2 linked regions of the Nothobranchius furzeri genome follow. The protein of the gene in region 1 purifies or fractionates together with the protein of each later gene. This does not show direct contact. Links are inferred from orthologs where the notes say so. Each region holds a gene or a part of one and is shown on either strand. Other genes may lie near its edges. The genes, in order: rims1b and erc2.

The links.
Region 2: the proteins of rims1b (region 1) and erc2 purify together in Homo sapiens (affinity purification with western blotting; 3 studies listed by BioGRID and IntAct, with this or other methods). This does not show direct contact. The link is inferred for Nothobranchius furzeri from reciprocal best matches to the Homo sapiens genes RIMS1 and ERC2.

The regions. Positions count from the first base shown.
Region 1 is NC_091746.1:29,085,507-29,089,327, reverse strand, and holds part of rims1b (regulating synaptic membrane exocytosis protein 1), read right to left. Parts: intron 3,773-3,821; coding exon 2,892-3,772; intron 1-2,891. UniProt on the Homo sapiens protein: Rab effector involved in exocytosis. May act as scaffold protein that regulates neurotransmitter release at the active zone.
Region 2 is NC_091743.1:67,385,338-67,389,158, forward strand, and holds part of erc2 (ERC protein 2), read left to right. Parts: intron 1-1,064; 5' UTR 1,065-1,193; coding exon 1,194-1,865; intron 1,866-3,821. UniProt on the Homo sapiens protein: Thought to be involved in the organization of the cytomatrix at the nerve terminals active zone (CAZ) which regulates neurotransmitter release. Seems to act together with BSN. May recruit liprin-alpha proteins to the CAZ.

The sequences.
Region 1 (3,821 bases):
TGCCGAGCACTGGCGCCACCGGTCCCTCCGACCACCACCAGCAGGCAACGTGGGTTAAGTGTCTTGCCCAAGGACACAACAACAACGACAGACTGAGCGGGGCTCGAACCTGCAACCTTCCGATTGTGAGGCGAGCACTTAACTCCTGTGCCACTTAACTCCTGTGCCACCGTCGCCCCATCACCGTCGTCACGGTGGTGACCGTTATGCATCAAAGGGTTAAGCTAATTTGTTTTCCAGAGTTACGATTGCAGCTTGAAATGGCCGAGGAACACGTGAAACAGATGAAGGTATAATTAGCAAATGAAAATAAAGGACTAAATTACTCATTTAATTTAATAAGTATATATAGAATTCATTATTTGATAATTGTACTTGTTCAGGTTTTGTTATAACCTCCCATTAGACGACAAACTGTCAGACATACGACCCTACCCGAAGCATCAGGACAGAGCCGAATCACTTCCTGTTCTGAGCTGGAGTGTCTAAAACAGCTAATAATCCCAATCCACACCACCTACACATGACCAGTCCCTGAGTTTTAGTAATCTGGATTAAAGCAGCTGGAACGGCCACTTTCTGTGAGCGTGATAAGCTGATAGAGTGCTTCCTAACCCCCTCTGCTGCCTCCTGAACGCACAAATGACAGGACGTCTGATTTCAGCAGCACCACGCTGCTTTTCTGCCAGAAGCAGGAAAAAGGCGTCGGCTCCCAGAGAGCACTGTAAGCCCAGTCGGTTCAGGGTGGTCCGTGCTCGGCTGCTGCAGCTGGATGTCTGCGGAGCGTTACGTAGTCAGCGAGCCACTGACCTAATTCCACAAATCTGCTGGCCTAAATCACCGGGACTCTCCAAATAAATGAGCGCTGTCCTGAGAGCAGCAGGGTTTATCCACAGCACAGAGGTGTAGATGACAAACAGAGACGAGAGTTTAATCTGCTGCTACTGGGCCGGGAAGACTCATTACCTCAGCTTTAGGCGTTGGGATGGGGGAGAAAGAATTTGGTGTAGGCACTGCTAGCCGACGGTCCTTCAATGACCGGAGCGGCCGGGTCATGACGTAAGCCTTTGCGAGAGGATTCAGGTAGAGGGGAGCCGTACCATCCAGGACTTTGTATGCTAGTGCTAGCAATTTGAATTTGATGTGTGCTGCTAGCAGTAGCCAGTGGAGCTACAGAGGGGTGATGTGTGCTCTTTTAGGCTGACTGAAGGCTAGACGCATGATAAAAGGACAGTAGAGGTATCGTAGACTGTCCTCTAAACCAGAGATGGCATACTGGTGAAGGTTCTCGGTCATTCGGGTCATGGTAACCCAAAACGGTTCAAATGAAGGCAACTGGACTTCTTTGGTAGCCTGGCAAGCTATTATTTAGTCTGGCAACGCTCCATTGACGGCCCTCGGTTGTGGGGCGGGTTCTACCGTTGTCTTTCAAATGATCTCCGCATTCCACTGGACAATGAATGTGACGTACTCTTGTTTCACTCTGTTGCATCATCCCACCCACCAGGCATATAGAGTGCCCTGATTGGCCCACAAAGCGGATAAAGCTCTGTGATTTGTTCACTAAGCAGATAGACCACTATGATTGGCCCACCATTATGGACCAATCACAGCTCTTTATGTGTTTGAAACCCCTCTAGAGAGCTGTGATTGGCTAGCCAGAGTCCTGGTAGGAGCAGCGGAGGTTCCAATGGAGCATGCCTTCTTTGCAAAGCAAGAATTTGGTCTAGTTCACTAGGCTACTTCTTTGGTTTACTTGAAGATGTTTTGCTTCTCATCCGAGGAGCTTTGTCAGTTCTGACTGGAATATGAGCGAGTCAAGCTGCAGCTGTCTAATGTTGTTTAATGAGCAGAAACTACTCTGAACGCCCTGCCTCGCTACCCTCTGATGAGCCGTTAGCCTCTACGGAGAGAGCGTCGTGTTGATTAGATGCAGGAAGGTGTGACCTGGACGGAAACTGCTTAGGAATGAGATTCAAAGCTTGGAAAGGTGAGACCTAGGCCCTCCTCCCCCATTTAAAGTAGGTTCTCCACGTTTGAGAGAGGAGTAAAGGAAGCCATTTATGCCCCAAATATGGGGTGCGTGATGCAGAGATGGACGTGAGGGCTAACCCCCAAATTCCACTACCTCCGCTCCGCTGCGCTCCGGTCCGCCCCCGCCTTCCGCAGCCGCTCGCTTCCGAACTCAGTTTTTACTGGTACCCGCTCTACAACGGCTCTGCTCCGGTGCGGAGACCTGAGGTGGGCAAACAAGCATGCGCGGGATTTTCGAGATCTTGCGATACAGTCCGAGCAATAAACGCGGAAGTTAGATCCAAACACCCGTTGTGTGGGAGAAGCATTGAAATGAACTGTTTAATCTGCCCATCATTTGTGTTGAGAGATCAGCAGTGTTTGGATCAACAAAGTGTGACTACTTTGATAGTAGAAACTGTATTTATGGCTTAATTTTGTGCATTTAAACTTCAGCCGCCATTGATAGTTGTTAAAAGTTGTTAAACCTGTGCATATGAAACAAAAAACGCCTTTTGTTCATCGATTTATTGTGAAAAACGGAAATTGTGCTTGCTCCTTTTCCTGTTGGGCGTTTGTGATTTCTGTCCATTTACTGCGGAGGTGCTCCGGCGTCCGGCGAAAATAGGATCGATTCTATTTTTGCCGGACGCCGGAACAGAGAGCGGCGTCGCACTGTCGGAGCACGGCCGCAGTAGTGGAATTGCTCTGATTGACTACAACGGGACCGATTTTGCTCCGGCGTTCGTGTCGGAGCGGAGCGGAGGTAGTGGAATTTCGGGGTAACGGCGAACAGCTGCAGGTGGAGACGGGTCTAATGTGATAAATGATGACAGCAAACACATCAGGCAGGTTTAGTGGACATCTGTCTGACTGACCTTTCTCGCTGACGCTTTCCATGTCCACGTCCTCACAGCTGGTGTACTCGGGCGTGGAGCCGCCCTCCTCCTCTGAGCTGCTGATGGACATCTGCCTCTTGTTGATTCCTCGCTTGCTCTTGTAGGACCGCGGCGGGGGCGGCCGTAAAGACTCTGACGGATCGGAGCTCTGGGAGTTCTTCCTCAGAAGATTATCTCCACATTTGTCCCGAGCGGAACCATGCTCCAGGTGGCTGCTGTTCTGGTTCTGATCAGGAGGCCCAGGACCTCCAGGTTGGGGCCCTGATCGACCTCCTTCTCCAGCAAGTGGAGGCCCACCTCCCATTCCCACGGTCCTGTCTCCAGGAAAGGCTCGGCGGTTCTCAGGGTGGGCTTTGCGGTCCACCTCCCCATAGCTCCTCTTAGCCAGGTGGTTTTCAGGCACCTGACCTCCACCGCTTCCCTCATTCTGACCGAGCCCCACCTCATTGATGGCGAGATCGCTGTGTCTCCGTTCGTGCCGTACCTTGGATACCTTGGCATGCATCCGCATCTCCTGCTCCTCCTTCTGCGGTTTTACGGGATATCTTGCCAGGTTGGGGTCGCTCCGGTAACGATTCTGGAATTCCTCCTCACAGCGCTGTCTCTCCCTCTGCTCTTCATCCTCTGGGCGTCTCCTGTGTGTCCCTGAGCGTCCCAGGTTCTCGTTTCCATCTTCATAGTCCTGAGAATTGATCTTCTCCAGCCGGCGTCCACTCCCAAACCGTCTTTCTCCTTTGTCTCCAGGAACTGAGCGCTCGTCCAGTGACGACTGGGACTGAAGCTTCCCAGCAGGTCTGCGACCGCTGCCGCGTCCCGTTCCCCCTCTACCGTTCTGCTCATGGAGAGAAACGGGCCTTTTCCTGGGAAAGAGGAAGAATTAAGATCACATTAGGAGTGAGATTATCGGGG
Region 2 (3,821 bases), on another chromosome or scaffold:
AGCATGGCCGCAGTAGTGGAATTGCTCTGATTGACTACAATGGGACCGATTTTGCTCCGGCGTTCGTGTCGGAGCGGAGCGGAGGTAGTGGAATTTGGGGGTAAGACCTCCACCACCCTCTTTGGCCAAAATACCGCACTTGCAACTTCAGAATGCCGGTCTGGTCCCTAATGTGAAGCTGACATGCCAGCGCTGCAGTCTGCTTTCAGCACTTGTAGCTGTGGTCTTCTTAAAGTGTTACTCTGGATTGTAGTTACTAGATCAATTAGTGTGAAATAACTAAATGTATTTGTTATCGACATGCCCTAATTTAACTGTAATGCCACTTATTTATGTGGAAATATTTAAAAAATGTATGTTACTGATCAGTAAAAAATTTTTTGTAGAAAGTCAATATTTCCTCTTCAGTAGCTTTTTATGATTTTATTTTTAATAACAAAAATTAATTTATGTTATTCATTACTGATGGCTGCAGTTTGTTTCTACTTTATTCAAATGGTGATTCTTCTGTTTTTTATTAAGGGTTATGTTGAACATTTTTTATTTCCTCAGGAGAAGAGTTGATTAGCTGAAAATCACACATGCACAAAATTCTAGTGAAATCTATTTTTTTTACATTATTACTTTATGCACAGAATGTGAGCTTTAAAAACACCTCATTGTGGTTAATTTATAATCGAAGTGCACCAAAGTGATTAAATGTCAGGCTGCATGTTTTTGCTGATGAGCTCTTATAGAACAAGCTCTCTGACACTTGATACATGTTGGGTGGATATCTTTGTTTGCTCTGACACAAAGCAATCAGCTATCACTGTCAAAGAAGAGAAATGTGATGTGGGATGAAAAGTGGGGTTGTAAAGTTGTACCTTAAGTGTTATTTTGATTTATTTGACCAGTGGGGCATCTGAAATTATGTTTGAAGAATTCTGCATGCTGTGTGCAAACTGAACCACATAAGCGGAGAAATCCAGGCTTCCTGATGTGCAGTGTAACAGGAACTATTATGTATTTTTTATTTAAATGGTTATTTTTTTTTGACAGAATACTTTTCTCTGTTTCCTCAGATCTGACTTTCCAACCTTTCAGATGCGAAATGAGTCATCCATATTTCCTTCAAAGAGTCAGAGCCATCTGATTTCACCACGCCCCTGTTAAGGACCCTCCGGTGGCTACTCAACGTTGAATCACAGGACATGTACGGCAGTGCCAGAGCTGTAGGTCATGTAGAGAGCAGCCCTGTACGGTCCCCACGCCTTCCTAGGTCCCCCAGGCTGGGCCACCGTAGGGCTCACAGCGGGAGCGGGGGTGGTGGCGGGGGTAAGACGCTCTCCATGGAGAACATCCAGTCCCTCAACGCTGCTTACGCTACTTCAGGGCCCATGTACCTGAGTGACCATGAGGGCGTGGGCTCCACTGCCACTTACCCAAAGGGAACCATGACGCTGGGTCGCGCCACCAGCCGGGCCATGTATGGGGGCCGCTGCACAGCCATGGGAAGCAGCCCCAACATTGCCTCGGTGGGGCTGCCGCATGCTGACCTTCTGTCTTACAGTGACCTGGGCTCCCTCTCCATGCTGCACCCCCACCACCACCAGGGGGTGCCCTCCGCTCTCCTGAGACAGGCTGTGCGGGGCAGCGGTGGGGAGCTGCTGGAGATGCAGGCCCAGCTCAGGGAGATGCAGAGGGAGAACGAGCTGCTGCGACGGGAGCTTGACCTGAAGGAAAGTAAGTTGGGATCTTCCACCAACAGCATCAAGAGTTTCTGGAGTCCCGAACTGAAGAAGGAGAGGATAATGAGAAAAGAGGAGGCGGCTCGGACGTCAATCCTTAAAGAACAGATGAGGGTCACTCATGAGGAGAATCAGGTGAGAAACCCCTCCCTTCCTTTCTTCCATCCTCTAAGCGTTCATAATCCACATTTTACTGCAAGCTGCTGCTTGTCCATCTGCATTTCTGTTCAGATCTTTCATCGTGCTCTGTCTTCCTCTGCATTGATTGAAGTCAGATGTGTTTCTCAAGATGAATGAAAACCTTTCTGGAAAGAGATTATTATATGTGTAATACCTGTTACACTCACGTGGATTCAGAGTTCTTCTAACCACAGGAAACACAAACCCTTTAGAGTTGTCAACAGTATAGATTAAATCTAAGTTTTCAGATATTTGTAAAGAAGTGAAACTCAAGCTGTATTGAACAGCCTGAGCTCAATATAGCAAAGTTTTAGTTTATTTTCACAGATTCAGCAGATTGTTCCCAAAGGAAGACATGTCAAAAGGATTTTTTTGCTTACCTCAGTGTGTGGGTGGAGTCGTGGCCCAGTTAAATCACTTACTGACAAGAGTGGGAACAGGGCCCAAAGACAAATGTCAAGGACACTTAAACACTTCCTGTCTGTCTTTGTTTGCCTCTTTTATTTTATTTTTTTTCTGTTTGTGTTTCTGACTCTGATCGTCTCTTTGGGAAATACAGGCGATAAAAAACCAGCTAATTTAGCATTTAGTGAGAACAATGTTCTCTCTGTGTAAACGTCACCTCTAGGATTAGTAGTGGTTCACTCCCTGAGCGTCCTGATCTAGTAGGAAGGTGACGTCATCAGAGTTTCCCTTTATTTATTTGAGACAGGCCGGGTGATCGTGAAGCAATATGAACATTACTTGGATGTCAATGCTAAGTTAACCCAGTTTTTCACCAGCCTGTCTTCTCCAATCCTGCCATCTTATGCTGAACCAAGCTGATTAGTCATTACTGATGCTGTCACTCCACCCTTCGAGGTCATAGCGTGATGCTATTTGTGCAGGAGTCATATGAGATTAAATCCTTACAGACCGGTTTTCTTAAATCATTTTTTAAACGTAACTTTGTCAACTGATAGGATGCATTTAACTCATTGCTAAAATAGCCTTTAGCATCACATCATCAGTCAGTTTTCAGTCATCAGTCAAAGGCCAGAGGCATTCTGACTTTAGTTAAAGCTGATATTCAGTTTTTTCTCAGAGGGCGTCGCCTAGAGGCGGAAAAACGTATTGCACCTCTCCCTGCTTCTGCGATACCACTGAAAGCAACACCTCTTGTTCATTAGAGCTAAAACACATTGTTGTATTCTCAGATCATGCAGTTATTCATTTATTTATTATGACTTTATTGCTTTTTAAATTTTATTTCATACATCATGTTTATATTTCAAAGACATACTCGTAGATAAGGAATGTCGTCAGGTCTGCATCTGATTTGACCATGGAGATCCTTCCAACTCTGAAATGCAGGTCCAAGGTAAATTCTTCTCCAGTTTTTGAGATGCTTACAGCAAGTTTAGTCCGTAAGGTTTTCTTTACTTTGGTTTGTCTTTGAATAGAAGCCTTAATTACGTCACACAATGGGGTCAGATCAGTTTTATGGAATTCTAAAAATCAAACATAAGTCTTGAAATAGGGAAAACCATTTACTGTACTTATTATAGTATCTTGGCCACCATCTTGGCCGCATCATGCATTTAGTCACTCCCTGAAAATACAAAAATGGAGCTGAGTGTGGGGGCAGATGATTGTCACCCATCAAACTCTGAGACACTTTAACTACTGAGCTAACCGAGCCAACCAAATCTAACAGGGGTAGTCAACTTCCATTCCTAAAGACTGATATCCAACATGTTTTAGTTATTTCCCTGCATCAACAAACCTGATTTTAACCAGCAGGCTTCTGCGTTGCCTGATGAGCTTCTAAACACGCGAATCAAGTGTTTTGGAACAGGGAAACAACTAAAACATAATGGATACCTGCCCTTAGGGAAGGGAGTTGACTACCCCTGCACTGGGGTGAGAGGG